Linked DNA regions of Caenorhabditis elegans. The protein of the gene in region 1 interacts with the protein of each later gene in a pairwise test. Each region holds a gene or a part of one and is shown in the gene's direction. Other genes may lie near its edges.

The links. Proteins that work in one complex are often made in the same cells at the same time.
Region 2: the proteins of sdpn-1 (region 1) and grif-1 interact in a two-hybrid assay, tested with the Caenorhabditis elegans proteins (one large-scale study listed by BioGRID).
Region 3: the proteins of sdpn-1 (region 1) and nlp-15 interact in a two-hybrid assay, tested with the Caenorhabditis elegans proteins (one large-scale study listed by BioGRID).

The regions. Positions count from the first base shown.
Region 1 is NC_003284.9:7,993,885-8,000,707, reverse strand, and holds the start of sdpn-1 (SH3 domain-containing protein), read left to right. Parts: upstream 1-2,612; coding exon 2,613-2,629; intron 2,630-6,098; exon of another isoform or gene 6,099-6,347; intron 6,348-6,823.
Region 2 is NC_003279.8:1,975,372-1,983,912, forward strand, and holds grif-1 (RING-type domain-containing protein), read left to right. Parts: upstream 1-2,658; 5' UTR 2,659-2,680; coding exon 2,681-2,759; intron 2,760-3,148; coding exon 3,149-3,297; intron 3,298-4,087; coding exon 4,088-4,227; intron 4,228-5,994; coding exon 5,995-6,445; intron 6,446-7,809; coding exon 7,810-7,908; 3' UTR 7,909-8,041; downstream 8,042-8,541.
Region 3 is NC_003279.8:12,985,425-12,994,230, forward strand, and holds the start of nlp-15 (Neuropeptide-Like Protein), read left to right. Parts: upstream 1-2,806; 5' UTR 2,807-2,850; coding exon 2,851-2,910; intron 2,911-8,802; coding exon 8,803-8,806.

The DNA.
Region 1 (6,823 bases):
GAGACAAATTATGGTAATTATGTGAGAAAAAAGGAAGGAAAACAAAGAGAACAACATAAAACTACATTAGACTGAAAAATGCTCAACTGAGTAGAATAAACAGTTAACAAGAAGAAGGTAAATGTTATCAATCTGGAAATTACGATTTCAAACCAAACCTTGCATTCCAAGGTGTACACAGTCTTCGATAGAATGCAGAGCAATGTACAAATGGATTATCGGTCACTTTTCTTGCATCGAAAGTTGCTGAAATGGAAATCCAATGGGAGCACCAGCAATTTCCCGACTTCTGAAAAACTTCAAACATTTTAAACTCTTTTTAAACAAAACTTTACTGGGCGTATTTCAAGTTGCATAAATTGAAAAATGTACGTCCAAAATCATAGACTGAGCTACAACTTTTTAAATCTGTCCAATTACCAATTTTTGTTTGGTAATGTTCATTTCAAAATTTTAATTTTTAAATGAAAACGCTATGATTTGTTTTAATTTCTTGAGTGTAAGAAAAACAATATGTCGAAATTACCAAAACATTTTAAAAATTTGTGGTCATAATTCACAAGTGCCTATTCTTTTACAAAAAACCAAATATAAAATATTTCTTACAGCAGCATAGCTATTTGTAAATTGTTGCAACTTCTAACTTCTTTCAAAAAAAAAAACGTTCAAGTTCAATCAAAAACCCTATTTTTCATTGCCAGAAAACATTTCAAGAACTATTTCTAATATCTAGTTTTTCCTCCAGTTTTTTTTTCAGTTTGAAACCAACTTTCAATTTTAAATTGGTCGATGGAAGTCTGAAGATGGTAACTACTCACCCAAAAAACCTAAATCGTCACACCATTACAATCGTTTAGCAGACGCCTTCTTTCAGATGTTATCTCGAAAAAAAAGACTAGTACAGTACAAATGGGAAAAAGAGAATCTTCAGATTTTCAGGAGTGCGTTCTTTAACCTATTATCTAATTAAATTTCTGTGAAAGTTGATCAACATAAAAACCAAACAATCTGAGTTTGCTCAGGTTTTTTGCTTTTTCTGCTGTAATACAAATATTTATGCTGACACAACTCATGATGAATCACGAAAAAATTGTCTTTACATTGCAGATTAGGCACTTCCTTCAAAATAAACTGGCTAAAAACTACAATTCCAGTTTAAGATACGAATTTCAAAAAAAAAAGTGCAGAAAGTATTATAAACAAAATTCCATTCAGCAAAGAAAACGCTTGCATGTTGCGGCGTTGTTAAACAAAAATATTAGGATAAGTTCTTTACAAAGTATCATTTTTCAAATGCAGTCAAATTTGCCAGATCACCTAAATGTTTTCTCACTTGATTATATATTCCCTTGCCCAACACCACCGCATTGTATTGTTCTATTGAACCTTCTTAGATGATCAATTGTTCATCGGAACGTGTTGATCTTCAGTTGTACCAACTGTAATCCGTACCAACGTGCAAACGCTGATCCCATGTAAAAACAGTTACCTCGTGCTTATGACCGTTCTCTTTGTTTCTGTCACTCTTTTCTGCCGAAAACGTGGAGAGGGTGTTGCGTTCTTTTCGAAAGAGCTCGTCATGCTCCAGCACATAAACTGCTCTTGAGCTCATATTTATACAGTCGTGCTCTTTCACTCCACTCTCCTATATCTCTGCGTCTTATTATTGTCCTTCACCCTCTATCCGTCCATCATTATCGTCATCATCATCATCACCCATGTTTTCGTCTTCTATAATTGCCTGCTACCTATGTCCTCGGGGGGGGGGGGGGGGGGGTGAAGGAAAAAGGAAGCAAAGTCATTGGCATCTCAGCTGCCAAGTGGTAACAAAGTGAGGATAGGAATTCAATCCAGCATATTGAAAATGTCTAGTTTTCACCTCTTTTTGCATCTTTTTTTTCTTACCGTTCGCCCTCTTCCAATGCCATCGCCATGTATCGTGTTTCCGTGAGTAGTCTGCGTTTCACAATTACTCATCCGTCACAAAAAAGGCATTCGCGTTTCCACCTGGAAGCTCTTAGATACTTCAAACACTTTGCTTCCGAAAACCATTGACTTTCACTTCACTTTCCTTTCATTGAAACTATCAAAAGTGAATTACGAATAATAAGGAGAGTACCATTTGATTGTGCTGGATATCCTCCTAAGTCTTGATCTTGCTGAAAGTGATTCACAGATAGAAAGTGGCTTGAAATTTCTATGAATACTTCTAATATATGTTTAACGCTGTGCAACTTTGAGACTTTTCTTAGGAACCGTTAATTTTTATGTTTTCTAAATTTAATTTATTTTAAAACAATGTTTCCAGCAAACTCAAAACTATCAGTACTTTCAAAACTCCTCCCTTTTAAAGCTATTTTTCCAATTCTCTGTATTTTTTTTTAAAGTCCATGTATATTTGTTAGTTGAACAACCGCTCAAACAATATTGCCCCACACCTTTGAGTTTGCCCGCCAACACACACTTTCTCACTCGCCTAATCAGTTATTGACAGTGTACATTTAAAGACTTTTTGATCACGTTTCTCACTCTTTCCCAACTATTTTCTCTTGACTTCCCGTGTTCTGTTGCTCCATTCGTCTATTTCACTCGAATCGTCGATCTATTAAAACATGAGCTGTTTACCATGGTGAGTAGATTTTGCCTGTTAATGTTTCTGTTAATCAAAAATATTAATTGTGTTTTTACTTTCAATAAGTATCCGAATAATATTGAATTTTTAATCAAACACATACGTTTTTTTTCACAAGAAATCTATCATAAAAAAATGTTTCGAGTAAACCTACCTAAAAGCAAGGGTGAAGATTTTCGAAATTCCCCATATACATAGTTGACTGTCAGAATTTTCGGCAGTTTTCAACCTCAGTCATATTTCAAACAGTTTAACATTTAACCTTGACATAATTGTTCATTTTTAAAGTTCCGTCAAATACCTATCAATTCAAGACACATCAAGCTTGAAAAGCGAATATTTTACTACAAAATACGTTTATACGTTTTGAAATCTCCAGAAATGTTCAGACATTGCTGTTTTAAAATCTTTTCGCCAATTGACAAAACTTCGATTGCCGCATTTGTAATTGTCAGAAATATCTCACCTCGAAAATTACCTATGTCTATTAAAAAAAACAACCAAGTAAGATGCTACTCAAGGCAAGTTACGAATGTTTTAAAAGCCCTCAGAATTTGCAATTTTTTGCTTGCAAGCTTAAGTTTACAGCAGTACTAGTTTGTAATTTTTCTTCCTATAGACTCTTCCTATGATGTTTTTAACTTTTTTTTTCGACTTGTTCATCAACCTGACTACATTTTAATTGATGCAATTCCATATCAATCATGAAAAAACAAGTATTAACGGATCATCTTGTTGCTTAGGATAATATCAACAGGCAAGAAAGCAAACTAACATAATAAACCATCGAATCTGTGCACCAGCTGGCAGTTCACCTCTCATCACGGTGTAGCTATTTCGCCTACGTCTCGTACTCTCTAACCATTTCCACCACCCATTTCTCCACCATCACCATTCAACATTTTCAAACCATGCCCCGCTACTTGGCGCCTATTGATTTATGATACTCGTTTATGTTCCATTTTGAAATTTCTCATTTTCATTTGAAAACATGTTAGATATGTGACTCACTAGCAATGCCTGTTTGAGCCGCACGTGTTTTGCAAATTAGGCAAACGAACCACTAAGAATACATAAGAAGCGAATATCCTTTACATGTCCACTTGGCATCCCTTCGCTCAATCAACTTCTATTCATTTCTTGTTTCTAAGTCCTTCCGAACGGAGTAGTACTCACAATTAAGGTAATCACAACCCTGTTATCCACTATTGTCGTATGTGTTTCTATTTTGAGATTTTTCCCACAGAAATGAATAGCTTTACAAAGTTGCTAATTAGAAGTAAGTAATTTGAGTCGTGTTTTATGCGATTAACATCATATTTCGAGAAGTACGCGAAAATTTATATATTTGTTTAGTTTGAAACTACACGTAATTTTTGTTTTTGAAAGTTGTGTTTCGTTCTTGTTTAAAAAAAGTGTTATATCTATAAAAATTAGATTTTAGTTTTTAATTTTTAAATTGAAAATTTTTAAGACTCCCTATTCCTTGTAAAAATGTTAAGGAAAAAAGCGTTTTTTTTCACAAATTCATATTTATACATTTTTTTGAGAATTAGTCGTTGTCAGAATTTTAAATTATAGTTTTTTTCTTTTTTTTTTTAAATATCTGTTGTAGATTTTTTGCATTTTATTTCCCTAAGAACTTAATCCTCCTTACACCGTACATAGCCAAAAACCAGCAAGTCCTAATTAATCATTCTCAAAGCTGAGAAATTAAAATTTTAAAAACTATATTTCGCCAGTAATTTTTATGAAAAAAGCCATGAATGCATGTTTGAAACGCTTTGAGTTTAAAACGGGAACATTTTTTGATAAAACATTGCTTCAAAATCCGTAGATCTTCAAAAACCACTTTTTTTGTTGGAAATTTTTACTTTTAGGAATTCTCGTTAACCCTGAACAGTGTTTTCTTTTATTGTTCACAGTCATCATGTAGACTGTTCGAATTTAAAGTTAGCTCAATGTTTTAAATGACACTAATAATAACTTGTTTTGTTTACAAAAAAATGTTATATTTACAAGAAAAAAAACAAACAACATTGACTACGTTCCAACTGCCCAACTCCTGATAATGATGTCACTGTCACCAGAATTCCCATAATAATTCATATCAGTACTCTCTTCCTGGCGGGGCACTTTTATCTTCCCTGGAACCTTGAAAACCGGTTAATTTCATTTAAATCATTCATTTCGGTTGGATTAGATGAAGCTTCCTCTTTTTCTTCTGCTTAAGGAGTGAAACAGAATCCCATACGACTTTTTCATCGTTTCTTCATCACATCCACCTTCTGTTTCACTGTTAGTCTCACCTCACCTTCTCCACTTCTCACACCTTTTTACGATGTTCTATTAGAACATTGTGTATGCGATTGAGTGAGTGTGTATCTGTATATGTATGACCTATGCAAATTCTTTATCCGTTCGCAAAATCTGCGTTTATTAATACAGCGTGCACTTTTTCAAGAAAGTAACCGAAGAAATTGACGAAAAAGGAGAGATCGGGCTGCCTATTTCGAGGACAACACATTCCTTCCATATTCTTCCGTAAAATGTTCAGACACTGGTCCCCTTCTAACTAAAACTAGGTCTTCATATCTATCAAATAAGTTGCGTTAGAATGGAATCTGATTCTGGTCGCTTTAACTTGTACATATTTTCCGATAGTGTTGGTCTTTCAAGTGTATGCCATTAGTAACTTGTTAGGCAATCTTCTAGGACATTGGTCAAAAAGTCCGTTGTTCAATTACGTTAAGCAACGGATGAATACATGTTTTTGTTTTTATTCGGTTTTCACTCACTCTTTTCACCAATCAGCTGTCAAGGTTTCATATTCCTGTATGGAATTTTGAATTCAAATTTTGATTCCCTGTTTTTCAAAATCAAAACAAATACTTTTTTTCAAATTTCGCCATAGGGTGCTATACTTAATTTTGTGTTCTAGAATTGTATTCTTGTAAAAATAACAAATATTTCCCGTATGTCAAAACTGTCTCACTACATTATATTTTTGTGTCAGTTTTGGGAATTATTTTAGGTCAAAAATTCAAAAAAAAAGAAAACGACAAATGTAGTGCACATTCAGATGTTTTCTACATATAAATAAACAATTTAAAAACAATTTCTGTTTTTCCCGAAGTTCAATTTTCCCTACCTACAGTTTTAGTTATATTTCAGTCTTTGGTTGTATTGTTTTTTTTCTTCCAAAGTCGTTCCATATGCATTTCTCAGCCACATGTCCCACCAACACAAACACCGGTGTTGGCTCCTGTTTCTGTTAAAGCCTTCGTGTAATCCTTCTCATACAGTCACCTCAGCGAGCGGACTCTGCTTTGCTTGTAAGCCGGCAGCGCCCAAATGTATCTGTCTCTAGTTCCACCTATTCTGTTTTGGTTGCTCTTCCTCTCTCGTTGCGGGCTCATGGATTGCCTCAAAAATTCGTTTCTCATCCTCCGATTCTTGCATTTGGCCGACGTGTTTCTGGCTGTCCCATTGTTTTTAAAACTGTATGTCGTCTTCCATGTCCTGCAAACAAATCGTGTTTACAGTCTCGCAAGATGCTCGTCCTTCCCACCGCTGCCGCTCTGGCTTGCCCGAATGAACTTTTCCTCTTTTTTTGCATGTGCGGTCTGTTCGTTTGTTCAACTCATTGTCATCTCTATTTCCTTTTTCTGTTTTTGGAAGCTCAATTCGCGCAAAAGTGCTCTTTCCGCTAAAAAAACACAACCGCTGGTCAGCGAGAAGATTGAACAATTAACACAATGTGCGAAGTCCTCTGAGAAATCGTCTTGTTTTCCTTTTTTCCCTAAAAAAATTTCCGTGTTCATTTCATTTCCATTTTCATTTCCAGACTTTGTCACAAATCTTTTTATATATTCATACGTTTTAATTGGCGTGTATTATGTGTAGTCAAAAATAGTGATTGGTAAATTGAATGACGTAGTTTCTATTGAAATTAAAGAATGTTCGAAGTAATACAGTAGTCCCCAAGATTGAAAATGAACCATATCTAGTCAAAATAAAATAAAAATAAAATATTTTTTCGAAAATATCAAACGTCATGTGAATCGACGAATTCACTGATTCTCGATTTTTAGGTTTATAAATTATAGAACTTCAAGCAGCTTTTTTTGATGTGTAACTAAATTTTCAACGCTTCTTATTCTCCAACCACTGATGTAAAAAACATGAACT
Region 2 (8,541 bases), on another chromosome or scaffold:
GTAAACTATTCGTTCTTTAGCAAAAATAAAAAAAAAACTTTATTTAAATTTAAAAATAAATATCATATGTTATCACACCTTAGAATATCACGCCTTAATTTAGTAATCATTTTTAGTTCATAAGTGTGAGAGAAAGAAAAATGGATTAATCATCGGAATTAGATATCATCAGAGTGATTATATTCATCAAAGGTCCCACTTTACTGGAGATTTAATTTGGTTGATATAAAATTCCTATCTCATGTAAAGAAAGGTTCGAATTCTGTACCTATGAATACTGCCGATATTTGAATTCCTGTCTCATGGGAAGAAGGCCTTTCTTGTGGGAAGAACGGAGTTATAAAAAAATATACGCAGGTACAGAATTTGAACTTTTCCTCCCATGAGATAGGAATTTGAATATTGGCATTCTATAACTTCACTAAGAAAAAAAATCTCCAAAGGTTGATCGCAAATATGTAGAGATTGCTCGCATCCCTTCAAATATTACAAAATTTCCAAGTTTCTCAGTAATCTATAGTTTTCATTTAGATTACTGAAAAATATACACAGATTACTTTTGAGTCTGAGAAGTTATTGTAAAACGCAAAGCGAGCTCAAATGTATTTTGATAAAAGTGGCTATTTAGGCTTAAGCCGCGCCATACCGCCGGTGTGTCATAAGGATTTCCAATATTTTATTCCAGTTGGGCATCCTAGTTTTTTTTCCGGGCCCTTAGGCTTAAGTGTGTCATAAGGATTTCCTATATTTTATTCCAGTTGGGCATCCCAAGTCTAAATAGCTCTTTTTCTTTTCTTTTGCGCTCCAAGCGCAAGGAAAAACCTTCTTGTAACTTTTTAAGAGGGTTTCATATATTTTATTAAAATCGGGGCGAAGCCCTGATTTTAAATCCATATTGTTTTTTTTTGTCTTCCTCTATCCCTGCAAATAGGAAAGATAATGTGTTCTTTCTGATGAAGTAAAAATCATCATAAAATCTTGAAAACTGAGAGCAGGAGGTAATATTTGAATATATTGGGTCGTAAATGTGTGTCTCTCTGTGGGTGGGGTGGCGATGTGTTGGCAGCCCTTCAACGAACTGTATCTCCCGCCTGTATCTCCCTTCAAAGAGAGAATTGGGTTACAAAAATTTGAGGGGATATGAAAAAAGGTGTGAGAATTTCAAAAATATTATTGTTGAAACACCAGACCAAACCACTTTTTCTGGGCAAGAGGCAAAAAATTAATTTTTTGAAAAAATTTCAAACTGGCACAAAATTTTTTCAAAAATAAATTTTTCACAAATTGTTAGTAGATTTCATTTTTCATAAATATTGTTCATTGAACACAAAAAAGAAAACAAAGATTCATCAAAAAATGAGTGAAAAATCGCAAAAATTCGAAAAAATCAGTGCTGAAAAACTCGATTTTTTGGCGGTGCTGAAAAAAATTTTCACTAAAATTTTTTTGAAACTTAGTTTTTCGGATTTAGCGTCAAATTTTGAATCTATATAAAAAAACAAAATTGAAATTGATCTCAGATTGAGTGAATAATAAACGCTCAAAGTTGAAAAATGAACAACGCAAAAACGGCAGTAACTTGCTTCAAGGTCGGTTATCTCAGTGAGTTTTCACTCAATTTTCGAAATTTGTTTGCTCTATCGCTTTAGAAATATTTGTAATTTCATTTGTTTTCCTCAAAATCAAAATATCTCAAACGACCGCCATCCTACGAGAAGGGAAAAAAAAAGTTTTTGGAAAAAAAATCAAAAATTTTTTTTCTGCCTCGATTTTCAAAATGAAAAAATCACTTTTTCGGAATAATTTTTACTTTAAAATGTACCTACGATCTTTTTATACAACAATTTCACCTTGGAACCAAAGATTTTTGGAGGATACTCGAAAATACTCTTCATATCTCGGCTCAAAGAGCTCCAATCTTTCTGAAATAAAGCATACAGAGGTGGGGCAAGCTTCTTGAAGAGAGAGCAAAAAACCGCATCAAAATCCATCCACCCACCGTCAAGTTACACGCGCGTTTTCAGAGTGAACGAAAAACAGGGCATAAAAAAATTTAGACGCCCGCACCCGGACTCGAACTTTTTTCAGATTTACAAGCTTAATATCTCGGCTCCTGTAAATCGAAATTGGCTCAAAATTCTCAAGAAACCTTATCCTGCGTCCTTCCTGCTGTCATTAAATTTTCGTGAGCTTAGGGAGAAAACTGACAAAACGCCAAACTTTCAAATTTAAAAAAATAGTTGAGGGTCATTTTGTAAACACCTTAAGCTCCATAACTCGGCGAGTTTTGATGGAATCAATTTGAAATTTTACACGGAAGCTTCTTAGTGGCTTATACGTCTCTGTGTTAAATTTCGCTTTGATCGGCCAACGGGAACCCTTTGAAAAATGAAAAAAACGCTGTAATCCTAACCCTAAATGGCGAGCTAACGCTCGCCACTGACGCCAAGCCTAGGCCTAATCTCAATTTTAACTGTAAAAATAACAAAATTCCCTATTTTTCTGTCAAAATCGAATTTATCTAGGCTCGCAAATTTTTGATCTACCATCTCAGATGTTGATCTACTATCTACTTTTCGGCGCCAAATTTCCAATTTTGGGTGCAGAGACTCTGTTTCTTTGAGTTTTCCGTTCGATTTCCGCTCATTCCGTCTCCTATTCCTGTTCTCTGTGGACAAAAATGTACAGTTTCAAAAGCAGCACCGACGTGAAGACTTATATCAGCACCCCGTCGTGCCGGATATGTCTTGAGCCATTTGGTTAGTGAGTTTTTGTTGGCTTAACGGCTTTTTTCGTCAGTGTTTGGCTATTTTCTTGCAAATTTTTAGGTGTTTTATCGATTTTCACATTTTTAAATACTTAAAAAGCTTGATATTTGAGCGAAAAATCAAGAAAATTAAATTGCGAAATTTTTTAAATTTTTTAAATACCAACGACACTCCGATCTTACACCCGTGCGCGTTGTTTAGCGTAAATTTACAAAGCGAATTTTCAGTTGGTTTTCTCGAATTTTAATTGAAAATCTTGAAAATTAGTGAATTTTTCAGCGTTTTTATGGATTTTTCCCTTAGAATACAGGTTTCTTAACCGAAAACACAATTTTCCTCCAATTTTTTCATAAACATCTTTGAAAAAATCAATATTCCAGACGAAGGACAACATCTTCCGAAAATCCTGCAATGTGCCCACACGGTCTGCGAGAGATGCATCGGTTTGCTCGACGAGCAGAGCCGAATCAACCACAATCGGCCGCCGATCGACCGCTCGTTTGTGCACATTAGATGTCCAGTTTGCAGGGTATGTGTTATCAATTAATTAAAGGTGGACTCCGCTCAGTGCGGAAATTGCTTTAAAACACGCCTATGGGGTCACAATGACCGAATATCTTGATTTAAAAAATTCAAAAAAATTTTCTAGATTTTATATGATCTTTTGAAAATTGAAAAAATCTCAGTTTTTGCCTAATTCCTATTTGAATTTCCGCCAATTGGATTTTTTCGGTGGGGCGCACTTGCACGTTTAAAAATTTTTTTTTTTATTTATTCTTATTTTTCACCGATTTTTAATGTTTTCGGTGTATTTTTGCTTGAATTTTAGAGAAAAAGCCAAAATAAATGCAGATTTTCGATTAAAAAACACGATTACAGGCGTAAAAATGAGAAAGTAACGCTTTTAAACGATTTCGAACCTGAATTAATTAATTTCACTGATTTACGCCTGTCAGTGTGCTTTTTAATCGAAAATTTGCATTTATTTTGACTTTTTCTCTAAAATTCGAGCAAAAATACACCGAAAACATTAAAAATCGGTGGAAAATAAGAATAAATAAAATAATTAAATTTTAAAACGTGCAAGTGCCCCAACGAACAAATCCAATTGGCGGAAATTCAAATAGGAATTATGCAAAAACTGAGATTTTTTCAATTTTCAAAAAATCATATAAAATCAGGAAAATTTATTTGAATTTTTTAATCATGATATTCGGTCATTATGACCCCATAGACGTGTTTTAAAGCAATTTCTCCACTGGCGCTACTCCACCTTGAAGATTAAAATAAAATTTTTAATGAATTTTGCTGAATTTCAGGCAGTCACCCAGACTCCACGCAACTACATTCGATCCAACTACCAGCTAATCGAATTGATGGATTCGATGCGTGGAGAAGCCGATCATAATATTTCATTCCTCGCGTGTGTCGGCTGTAATGGCGTTTATCACGAGAAAGAGTGCGTTGGAAACTCACGGCCTCACGGCTCACGCGGCACCTCACGAACTCCAGAATTTGCGGGAATTTGTTTAGCGCGGGACAGCAGTTTTTTGTTATTTTTGGCTTCTACGGAAATTATTTTTGATTTTTTGATCTATAATATTCTTGAGAAGCATCCTTCGAATTGAAAATGTGAAAAATTATGAAATTTGAGCGAAAACTGAAGGTTTTACAGTAAGGAGTTCTATACTTTTCTTTAAAAATGCATCAATACCGCCAGTTTTTTGATTTCAGAGTCGTAAAGTATGCCATTTTGTAGAGAAAAGTCTGTTTCACAAAAATCCATGTTTGAAAATTGAAAATTGTTTTTATTAAAACCTGAAAAATCAAAAAAAAAAAAAAGATTTTAATGTAAAATTGTTGATTTTTTGAATATTTTTATATTATAAATTGAATAATCAGAATTTCAAACATGGATTTTTGTGAAACAGACTTTTCTCTACAAAATGACATACTTTACTTACTTACTTAGGATACTTAGTCGATCCGTTCTTCGCCTGCGGCGCGGATCACAGCTTTCCAAGCTTTTCGGTCCTTTGCTTGGGTGGACCATAGTTGTTTGACTTGCCCGAAGGCGTCTCGCGTAGTGACTTCTTTTCTTAAAGAGTCATTCCATCTCATCGGTGGGCGTCCAACGGGTCGTTTCTCGTCTCGGGGGCACCAATCGTTCATCAGAGTTGTCCATCGGCCATCCGTTCGTCTCGCCACGTGTCCAGCCCATCCAAGTTTCCTCTTTTTTATGTGTATTAGTGGATCTCTGAGTTTTGACTTTTCTCGAACTTCTTCGCGATGAATGTTTCGTTCGCGTTGTTCTGTCAAGGTGAGTCCAACTAACTTTCGTTCGAGGGCTGCATGGGTTACTCTGACTCTTTCCACTAGCTCTTTTGTGAAAGTCCAAGCTTCAGAGCCGTAGGTCAGGGCTGGGAGAACCGTAGAGTCGAAGAGATTTGCACGGAGGCGTGGGCAGGTGATCTGGTCCGTGGTGCTTTTGATGTTGGTAAAAGCTGCCCACGCAGCTCTTCGTCTTCTGTGAAGCTCAAGCTTTTTTGATTTTTTGATCTATAATATTCTTGAGAAGCATCCTCCGAATTGAAAATGTGTAAAATTATGAAATTTGAGCGAAAACTGAAGGTTTTACAGTAAGGAGTTCTACACTTTTCTTTAAAAATGTATCAGTACCGTCAGTTTTTCGATTTCAGAGTCGTATGTCATTTTGTAGAGAAAAGTCTGTTTCACAAAAATCCATGTTTGAAATTTTGAAATTGTTTTTATTAAAACCTGGAAAATCGAAAAAAAGAAAAAAGATTTTAATGTAAAATTGTTGATTTTTTGAATATTTTTATATTATAAATTGAATAATCAGAATTTCAAACATGGATTTTTGTGAAACAGACTTTTCTCTACAAAATGACATACTTTACGACTCTGAAATCAAAAAACTGGCGGTATTGATGCATTTTTAAAGAAAAGTGTAGAACTCCTTTCTGTAAAACCTCCAGTTTTCGGTCAAATTTCATAATTTTATACATTTTCAATTCGGATAATGCTTCTCAAGAATATTATAAATCAAAAAATCAAAAAAAATTTTCATAGAAGCCAAAAATAGCAAAAAAACTGCTGTCCCCGCGCGAAACGAATTCCCGCAAATTCTGGAGTTCGTGAGGTGCCGCGCGCGAGCCGTGAAACTGTGAAAATTCAGATTTTAATTAATTTCCCCAATTTTCAGCACCAATATTTGCACTACATGCTCCCCAATCATCAAGGATGCTCATCCCACTGAACTCATCGAGCAAGGAGTAATTCTGAATCAGTACGCGTTGTGTTCGACGTGTCTCCTCAGAGATCACATCAAAAAGAACCACGTGTCGATCAGTCTGCAGCCTCTTCGCGTCGAAATGCAACGCCAGGAGAATCAGCGGCGGATAGTCGGCTTGCAGGACAATTTGCACAAAGTGCAACGCGATTTTCGTGAGCAGCTTAACGCGACTATGGAGCGATGGGCCGGATGGAATGGGAGCCACGATTTGTCGATGGATAAATTCCGTGAGCTTGGTGATACGTACAATCAGAAGAAGGTTTATGATGCGTTCGTGCATCAGCTGAGAGGCAAGACCGCTAAGATTGAGAAGCTCGCCGAGCACGTTTTGCGATGGAATGATGAGCTGGACAGGGAGATGGTGCGTTGAAGATCGGGGCCGCTTTTTCAATTTTTTTGAAAATACAAAAACTAAACTTTTTATTCCGAAAATTTAAATTCTGAAATTTCGAAAACCTTTAAAGGTGGTGTAGTCGAATTTTTTTATTATTTTTTTAAAATTTTATTAGACTCAAAATTGTCTGAAAACACCGAATTTTATAATGAAACTTCTTGAAAACTCCAACTTCTCAAAAAAAAACTTCTGACGGCTCGAAAAATGTCCTAAAATTAGTTAAAATTTGAAATTTGACCGACTTGCAAAAATTTTTAATCAATTTTAATATGTAAAGCCTAAGTGATTTTTTGCCAGAAAAAAAAATCTGGAATTTACAGTTTTTGAAATAAAAATTTTCAACAAAAACTAATAATTTGTCGGAGAAACATTTGAATATCAGTTTTTTTTTGTCAACTCTAATTTTTATAATTAGTTTTAAAATTTAAAATTGAGAAAATTATTCGCATTTTTTGCTCAAATTTTGTATTTTTAAAATAGTTTTTTTTCTTTCAAATTCTACTCCAAATATACTCAACATTTTGGTAATTTTTTAAGAAATTTTATGGAATTTTTCGAAATAAAAACAATTATTAAAAATTTCAACTAAAATCTAATTTTCAGTACGAATTTTAGAAAAAAAATTGAAACTTATAAAAAAAATTTTCTAAAAACTAAAAATTTCGCCTTTTGGTTTTTTTTTCAAAAATATTTGGAAAAATTAACAAAGTTTTATTAAAAGTGGTGTAGTCGAATTTACTAAATTACTTAATTAGATTCGAAATTGTCTGAAAACACTGAATTTTATAATGAAACTTCTTGAAAACTTCTCAAAAAAAAGTTATGACGGCTCAAAAAATGGCCTAAAATTAGTTAAAATTTGAAATTTGACCGACTTGTCAAGCGGTTGGAAACTAACTTTTTTTTTGAAATTACCGTCAAATTTTGAGTATAAAATATAATTATCTTGCATTTTCAACTAGATTTAGGTATTTTAAAGTCGATGGACGGCGAGATTTTTATATTTTTAAACCAAAAACGGCGAGATTCGAGTTGAAAACGCAAGATAATTAAATTGTATACTCAAAATTTGACGGTGACTTCAAAAAAAAAAAATAGTTTCCAGCCGCTTGACAAGTCGGTCAAATTTCAAATTTTAACTAATTTTAGGCCATTTTTTGAGCCGTCATAACTTTTTTTTGAGAAGTTTTCAAAAAGTTTCATTATGAAATTCGGTAGTTTTCAGACAATTTTGAGTCTAATGAAGCAATCCGAAATATTCTTTAAATCATTCTTTTTGGGATATTAAGAAAACTTCATCCTTTTCCCCTAATAAAATAAAAATTTTCCAGGAAAGACCACCAGCTCATCGTTTGCCACGTAGCTCAACTCCAGCGCCAGCACCACCATTCGACAACTCCGTCGCCTACTATTTTGAGCACCAATTTTGAGCTTTTATATTTTTTTTTCTCATCCCACCACCACATTAAAACAGAGTTTTTATATATACAGTACCCATTATTCGAACACAATTTGTTCTAAAAGAGCCCCCAAGAATCAGATTTAATAAAGAATGCTCTCACCAATTACATTTTATTGCAAAGAAAAGTATGAACATTTACAGGAAATGCGAAAGAAAATGCGGAAGTGAAATTGAGATCGTCTAAGACTCATAAAAATAAAGTCGACGAAAAAGGCCTTGTAGGCAGGTAGATAGGCATTTTCGTGCCTACGAAGAAGGGGGAGGATCAGAAAATCTATGTTTAACTTTTCAAATACTATTGAAAAGTGCCATAAGTGCCATAATTATTAAAAATCCAAATTTTTGAAAATACTCCAGAAAATTTTGAACATGGTGCAACGTGACCAAAATAACAAAGTGTGCAATAAATATGGCCCGTTTTTGCCACTTTTTAATAGTTTTTGATGGGTTAAACCTAGATTTTCTGAATTCAGCATATATGAATTACCCGTTTTCAACAAATTTAGCCGATGTTTTATTTTTGCCCAAATCGTTTTTTCAGCCATCTAATGACTGTCCTTTTTTTGGGCAAAAAAAGATTATTCTGAAATTGAACGAAACT
Region 3 (8,806 bases), on another chromosome or scaffold:
TCAATAGTTTTAGTCAAAATTGTACTGTCATATTTTTGACGTGTGCGGCAAATTTTGAAATTTGCCGAGCTCTGCAAATTCGGCAAATCTACTTTTTTGAAATTTGCCGTGCTCGGCAAACGGCAAATTCGGCAAATTTGCCGCACACCCCTGGTTGGTAGTGTTATCATTGGTCAACGAAAAGTAGTTTCTATGTAATAGGATTTTCAACTAGATTTCTAGTTTATAGTGTGAAATATAAACTGTAGTTTCATGCAGGCACCAAAATAAAAGCCGCGCCCGCCTTGCGGCGACATCCGACTGCCTCGCGCCGCGATCCGCGCCTTCCATAAATATATTGCGAGGTGGAACCCGAACAGTGTCAGCAGCGGTGGAAGAACCACCTTTCTTCGCACTATGTGGTGTAAACACCAAGCCTGTGACTTCTCGCCATAGTGTAGGGCCCTGCCTCCCTTGGAAGTCCTAGTAAACTGACAACACTTTTTGCTCTTTTTCAACTTCCAGGTTTTTAACTTCTATAAAAATTCTTTCGAATTTTCTCAAACCTAAAGGTATCGAAATTAGTTGAAAGTCTAAATATATACATTTTATGATCAAGTACCCACTTATCTTCCTCTAAAAATCTTGACGACGTGGAATAATAAACAATGGGAATGCCAATTTGGTATTTGATATAGGTATGAATGACGTTATTTGTCGATAGGGTGAAGATCGTTCCTACCGAACTGTGAAGCTAAAATACTACAAACTACAACATTTCCTGAACCTCAACCAAAGTTTCAGAACGCATCGGCCACCTGGTCAAGTACATACCAGGGGTATGTGGCATTTTTTCGGCAAACGCTGCAAACTTGCTTATTACAATATGGTGCTCCAACTTTTTGATCTAAAATTGATATCAAATGTAAAAAACGGGTTGTTTTATCTGAAAATTGCATTTATTTTTGTTGTAAAGCTTGGAAAAGTTGTCAAATCATGCCTGAAAGGTGACGTTAGCAAAAAAGTGCCGTTAAAAGTTTTTTTGGCAAACTGCAACTTTCAGGACTTTTCAAGCCTTCCAGTTTTATACACTCCTATATCAACATTAGATCGAAAAAGTTGGATAATCATGTTGTAATAAGTCAGTTAGTGTGTTTGCCGAAAAAATGCCGCCGAGCCCTGGTACATACCTAGTTAGCATTATAATTCTTTATATATTTTTTCAGGCCATGTTATTAGGTTTTATATCTTAAAACCAAATAGTAACTGATAAACAATGTAGCTTGTATTATTACCCAGAAAATAAAAAGGGGTATCAACTCGATTTCTGTTCTGAGTCCAGTTCCACTTTCATATTTACCATACTCTATTTTTCAGTACGTCTCGCATTTTATACCCCCCGAACTGGTGGGTGGATTTTCGAGGCTTCTTTTCTGAAAATGAATTTGTCGCTCTTTGGTGAAATTTGTGTTCATCGTAGAGTGAATACAAAACAAAAAGAAATATGTAGTTCTTCTTGGAAAATATAGAAAATGGAAGATTTTTTGTATATTTGATTTGTGGCACAACATTAAAATATGAAAGAAAAATGTCGAACTTTGTGAATTTTGTGGATATTTAATGCCACGTGGCATTACTTCAACGCCTACATTTTTCTTCTTCTCAGAGTGACGTGTAATGTCAGTAGTGATCCCAGTTGCCCCCTGGGGACCACTATTTTTACACCCACTTACACCACTGCTTTTACGAATTGTTGAGAAATAGAAAAAAAAAGAGAAAGAGTTGGAATACACTTAAAAAAGGTTTCTCGGGACGAAAAAAATTGAAACGGATAGGGCGAGGCATTAAAAAAAAGTAGTGGGTAGACTGGAAAAGTGCACTGAATTTCAGTGTCGGGCTGGGTGAGGCTAATCGACTACAAACTATAAAAAAGCCCTAGAGCCCTAGACTACAAACTACAAGTTTCTCTAGCCTCACCCAACGAACTATTCCGAGCTCTGACGTAAAACTATGATCAGACAGCGGTAACTGACCGATTTTTGATACAAGATCGTGATCGTGAGAAATGAAATATTTATAAAAGAATTTCAAAATTTGGTTTCTTATTTTTCGAAAAAATTGAAAAAAGTGGTGATCCATTGAAACAACACCCATTTATCATCCGGCACGCCTTTGGACCTTGAGCCGAAAAATTTTTTTTTTCTGAGTTTGAGGCTTAAAGAATTGTGTAGTTCGTAGTCTGCATGAATCTATTCTTGTAGTTTGTGGTTGTGAATTTTTGGCTAAAGCTATAAGTTGTGTAGTTTGTACATTTTGGGTGAGGCTAGAGAAACTTGCAGTTTGTAGTTTCAAATTTTGGGTGAGGCTGAATAAGTTTGTTCTGTCGAAGTCAAGAAAATTGTAGCTTGTAGTTTGTAGTGTATCTAATCATGTTAAGGTTGCTTGTAGTCTTCACATTTTGATCTACGCTGACAACCTTACAGTTAGTAGTTATCGACTTTGATTGATGCTAAGGGTCTTGTAGTTTGTAGTTTCCTAACGTGGGGAGGCTGAAAAACGTTGTAGTTTGTATATTCTTAGCCTCTGCAAATGTGCCAAATTCTCCAATTTCTCATGTTATCTGAACCTTCGAACTTGAGAAAAATCTTCACTTCTAATAACCACTTACGTCACCACTTCAACTCACACACACTTCCAACACCGCATTTTCCAGAAAAATCTTAACTATTCCAATTACAACACCACATAAGCTCCACCCTCCTCACCCGCCGATGCACCGATAAGCCCCGCCTCCGCTGTGCTCCGTGAGCCATCGGACGGAGACCTCATTTCTTTTCTTCTCTTCTTTCACGAAAGAGACACAACATAACGATGCCGTCGTCGTCGTCGTCGTCGTCGTTTTTTGCTGCCGTTTTGCTCGTTATTGTCATGGTGAGTTGGATTGAGAATAATATTAATAATGATGAGGACAGTGATCATAGTGATGATGTGGCAAAGGGACTACAAACTACGAACAATCTGAGCCTTGAGTTCCCATTCTTGACAACAACTCCCATATAGGTGTTTAACAAAATAATGATCATAAACTACAGTTGGATCGATGCACCATGTTTAAAAACTATATTTGCATCTTTCGCAAGCTTTGTAGGATATATGTAGATGCCTACAAAGTATGATGGTCTACTTTTAACGTATAGAAACTAAATTCAATATTACTATGTTTGTCCTAATTATAGCCACTGTTAAATTATTTGTATCCTTACTCACGTTAGACTTTTTACTTATAATTTTGAAGATACCTACAACCTGCCAAGCTTGGAAAGGGTGCAAAACTAGTTTTTAGACATGGTGCATCGATCTACCTCAATGCAGTTTAAAAATGAATAGATTGTCTTTATTGTCATTTAATGTTATACATATCTATAAAACTTTCTCATTTGGAATTCAAATCAGAACGGAAGTGTTCTTCCCGCAACCCCTAACTTTCAAAGTTATATTTCAGGGGAATCTAGTAATCTAGAAACTAATCAAAGAAATTTTCTGCTGCTAACCCTTCTGCTGCCAACTATCATACCAGCTCATTTTTTCCAGAAAATGCAGAAAACCGAAAATCGAACAAAAAACACATACATTTTCTTTTCACATCTTTTCGCTAATTCCTTTTCTGAAGAGTCACTAACGATTCGTTCCTGGTCCTAATTAGGTCTGTTTTTCTTTTTCGTTTTCCCTCTAGTGAGGGTGGTGTTAACCACTTGTCTAGTCGTCTGGAAGAATAGTTTGGGGTACGGGGAACTATGAAGATCGTAACTAACTCTTGAATTTGGAATTATATTGGTTAAAACCGTAAGTTTCAAGTGGACATGTTAATTGCAGTTTACCATATTGAAAATAGTCGTTAGTTGGAAATTGCAATTAAGGAATCAACTTTATACTATCATTTACTTGGTTGATGTTTAAAAATAGTTGTACTTTGTAGTCTCAGCTCCTATTACTTTCTGCAATCCGTTTTCGTAATCCAAAGGAAAAAGTTATCCCCATTACCGCCTAAGGCTATCTGGGTGGAGGAACTTGTCTAGGAAATATATGACCTCAAAAGTTAATGTGATTCTCCAGCGGTATATATTTTGGGACACATCTATATATACTCGCAGACAAGAAGAACACATCCTACGTGGCCGTGGGTGGAGAAAACTCGGCCACCAATTTGTTAGGTCACAAATGATGCTTTGCAATTAATGAGACGGATTTTGAACACTAATCAGTTGGGGCGGAGTGTCTATAAACTATACAATTTATTGTTGAATATATTTGGCCATTTTGATAAACTATGTAGAAACTACAACGCTTTTATGGTCCGAAAATCTTTTTTCAAATTCCCCCGCTTCCGCCACGTCACAATAACCATATCTAGTTGGTCAATAAACAAAGAGCAACAAATAAACCAAAAATTTTGCGGAAAAACGAAAAACAATTTGTCTTGGACTCTGACCTTTTTGCTCAAAATCTTGAAAGATTTCTCATGGGACCCAGAAGCTTAGAAGTTGATTTTAGAATGAGATAACTGAGGAAAGTGAAATATTGAAGAAATTGCGGCAATTTTTTTGGAAATTGAAAATTGAAGGTTTTGGGATTTGGAAAAAGATTTATTTTTTTAAACTTATAGCAACTAGTAATGTTGGCCAATTTAACAGTATTAGAAAAAAATTGAGAAACTTCACAAAAAAAATCTGGAAAATTCGGGGAGAAATTGAAGTTTGGCTTGTTTGCTGGTCTAAATTTTTTTTTCAAATAAATTTTTTTGCGTTGAAGAAATGCCATCAATTATTTGATACTAATTTTGTAATGATAATTTTAAAAAATCTTACAATTCTAAAAACTTCAAAACTAAAAATTTCAGAAATTTTAATTTTTAATTTTTGAATACTTGAAAAAAAAAGTTGAAAAAATCAATTTAAAAAAATTAACTAAACTATTTTTCTTAAATAAAAAAGTGCCGAAGATCTGTTCAATATAGACATATTAAACATAATATCACGCTGAAAATTAGAAAAAAAAACCAAATTTCTACTAAAAAATTTCGAAAAAAATTGTGATTTTAAAAATTTTTCCTCAATTTTTAAGACAATTTTCGACTAAATGCAAGTACCTATTTCCACCTACAAACCATAAATATTCCCACAATTAACCCCTTTTCCATGAGAATATTGTCTTTTTTTCAGCTGTTTTTTCTTCATTTCATTTCCCCATTTCCCAAATGTTTTTCAGCTATTCATCAATTTCTTTTCTCCGAGAAAAAAAAAAACAAAAAAAGCGTCAAGAATCAAAAAAGGTTTTAGCGAAAAATCTGTGAAAAAGGGAAATTACTTCCGTGTTATTTGAATATGAAATGGGCAATAAATTTTGAAAAATAAATTGGTTGAGGCTCGGTGAACACTTGTAGTTTGTAGTCTAAACCGCAACCAACGTGTGGTTAATTGGATAATTGGAATACATTTATTTGTAGTTTGTAGTCTTCAATTTTCAATTTTATCTCAATTTATCAAATTTTAGGTTTTTTTCAATTTCCGAGTTTCCCGAATTTTTAAATTTACTATTAAAAAACTGATAAATAGAGAAATTTTGAGTTAGTTGTTGTCGAAAATATAGGATTTTGAATTTAGAAAATTTTCAAAAAAATTTTTTTTTCAATATCTTAATACTTTAAGCTTTTTCAAAATAATTTTTCAATTTTAAAAAATATTTAAAAAATCAAAAAATTTAATTTTCAAAAAACTTTTTTTTGTTAAATTTAAAAAAATTTCTCAATTTTCAGCTCCTAGGCCTGTACTTCATACAAATTTTGTCCTAACTATAAGTGAAAATTGTCAACAAAAATTAATATAGTTTGAGGTCTATATGCCAAAATTCCCATTTTTAAGCTTCTGATTTTTTCACTTGCAACGAGAAAATGAAAAAGTTGCATCTCTTTTTCTGAAAATGACATACATATATATTTTTGCAAGTATGACGTTCCTTATACACATAATTCAATTTTTCATCACATCCCAGCCCTCCTGAAAATCCGATTTTTGTCACGTTTCCCACCATTTTTTTTTGATTTTTCGTGGCGGGACCCGAATGACGTCAGATATTTTAAATGACACGTATCGGAGCACAATAATCAAATATAGATCAAAGAAATATGTGTGTGTATGTGTGCTCAATGACAAATAGCCTGAAATTCTCCGATTTCGCTCCGATATTTGAGGCTGCTTGCCGGTGAGCTGAAAGACGGGGGAGGTGTCGGTTTTTTTAAGGGATTTTAGGTCATTAGGAAGGGAGAGATGTTAGAAATAACATTAATATAGGATTTTAGGTTTCAGAAATTGAACAAAAACTTATTCGAGGAAAATATAATTTTTTTAAAAAATTTCCGAAAAAATGTTTTTTGACGATTTTTTTTGGAATTTTTTTTTTGAATACTTCCTCTTAAAATTACATTTTTAGTTGTGTAACGTTAAAATTTATGTTATTTTGGATTTTCAGTCTCTGGAAATTAACCTTTTCAACCTTAAAAAAAAAACGTTTACAAAAATGTTCAAATTCAGAACTTTCGAAAAAAACACTTTTTTTTTCTACATTTTTTTTGCATTTAAATTAAAAAAAAAACACAACGATGGCTCGGATGTTAAAAATAATTTTAATTTAGGGTTAGAGTCTGAAAATTTGAAAAAAAATTTTTAAGATAAAATTTTATTTCGAAAAGTAGTTTGAGAATTTTTTCAAATTAATTATTTCCAAGACCATATTTTAGAAAATCGTTATCCAAATTTCACCATTAATTTTCAATGAAAATTTATAGAAAAGCGCTTTCGAATATTGTTAAAGTTAAATGTTTTTTCCGCCTTTTTCAAAATTTAATTTCTTCCAAGGTTCATCAACTATTTTCCAATTTATGTGGGAACTTTTTAATAAATGTTCCAATAAACCGAGATTTGTCGGATTTCATTAATCACTAATTAGTCAAAGTGGGTGAGGCTAAGGGAGACAAACTATAAGTTTTGTTAGCCTTAATTGTTTTCAGTCAATAATATTAGACGTTCTCTGAATTTAAATAAGATCTGAGATGTCTACTGTATTTATGGGGAACAGAGAAAACAAAATTTTCTCCCGACGACAAACTGTAAAACTGCTTTGCCTGAACGTACTATAGTTGTTATGCTGATGGCTTCGGTCTGTGGATAGAACATATTTGTAGTTTTTGAACTTCTGATTTTTTGGAAAATTTTAATTTTGAATTTTGAATTCCACATGTCTTATTAACCCTCACTACACAAATCTCACCCTTGGAGTACTGTAACCAGCGATAAATCGGTGGCCGAGTTTTTCTCCATTCTCGTCCAAAAACCTTTTTCCATTTTCTGACGACTACTCATTATCATAAATAATTAATTGCAACTCGTTCGTTTTCCATGCGCCACAGCCACATCAGCAGAACCCAAAAAACACTAATGCATTTCGTTTTTCTACTGATTAAAATTTCAAAAGGAGGGAATGAATGAAAAGGAACGGAGAGTAATATGTTTTTTTTTGTTTCTTGTGCAAAATGAGTGGGCTGTGGTGGTGGTGATCAAACTTCAATAATATATATGTTATGTGGGAAAGAGGGTAAGGGATTGTATTATTACTAATGTTAGTTAAATTATAGTGATACTCAAGGACCCTTATTTCTAAGAAGAGGAGGAATGGATGTATATAAGTTACTTAGAATCGTAGTAAGTATTTTTCAAAAATTCTATGATGCCACGTGGTATCAGAGCGTCTCATCTCAGTTTGATCTACGTAGATCTACAAAAAATGCGGGAGAAGAGACACTGATTTCGCATGGTTAAGGACGTGCATACGTCACAGTTGTTTGGGCAAAAACATTCGCGCATTTTTTGTAGATCAAACCGTAATGGGACAGCCTGGCACCACGTGTGGTTCCAAAAAACGGCAAAGACGGCAAAGTTTAGTTAACAACGTGAAACCCCTGTTAGTTAGCGGCGGACACTGTGCGTTTATGAATTTCCCCACATTCACGATTACCTATTTTGACAAATTTAGTATTCAACAAAAAAGGGATTAAAAAACGTATTGAAATAAATAAATATATAAAATATATAGCGAAACTTTTTATATATTAACAGAATTCACATTTAACAGTTGAAGACAAAAATATCAAACTTATAGTTTCGAGTGTCCGTCCCCGAACCCCTAAACATTTTTTTGTTAGTAGTCCTAACTTGTTTTCCAGTCCTATATTTCGTACCATAAAATTTATGCCGTGTCTTATGTCCTCCTAACATCCTGACATTTCTCGGAACTTCCTCAACATCTAATCCTCTTCAATCACTGAAGTAAATACTATTTAATCCACCTCTCTTCTTGTCAAGACCCAAGTTTGTGAGTCCTCCTTCCCAAAAAATAAAAAAACAAAATGTATCACATCTCGTGTCCAATGACGCGAAATAAAACGGGGAAGCGAAGAAGTGCGTCAAACGAAATTTTCCAATTACAAAGTGCCAACAAACTCGCCAGGCATCATGATGACATAGACATAAACATGTGTAGGGGGGCCCCTCGTTGATATTGGGATGGCTAGGGGGGTCCTGGTGGAGGGTGAAAGGGAGACACTACAAACTACAGAACTGTGTTAGCTGAGCACTATTTGAATTCAAGACATATAATTCTGTAATACTGCATCAATAGTATACTAACTTAGTTTTTTCTACATTATATAATTTAGGCAAAACTAGTTATTTTATTAACATTTAAAAAGGTTCAAATAGTTTTTAATTCCAGATGT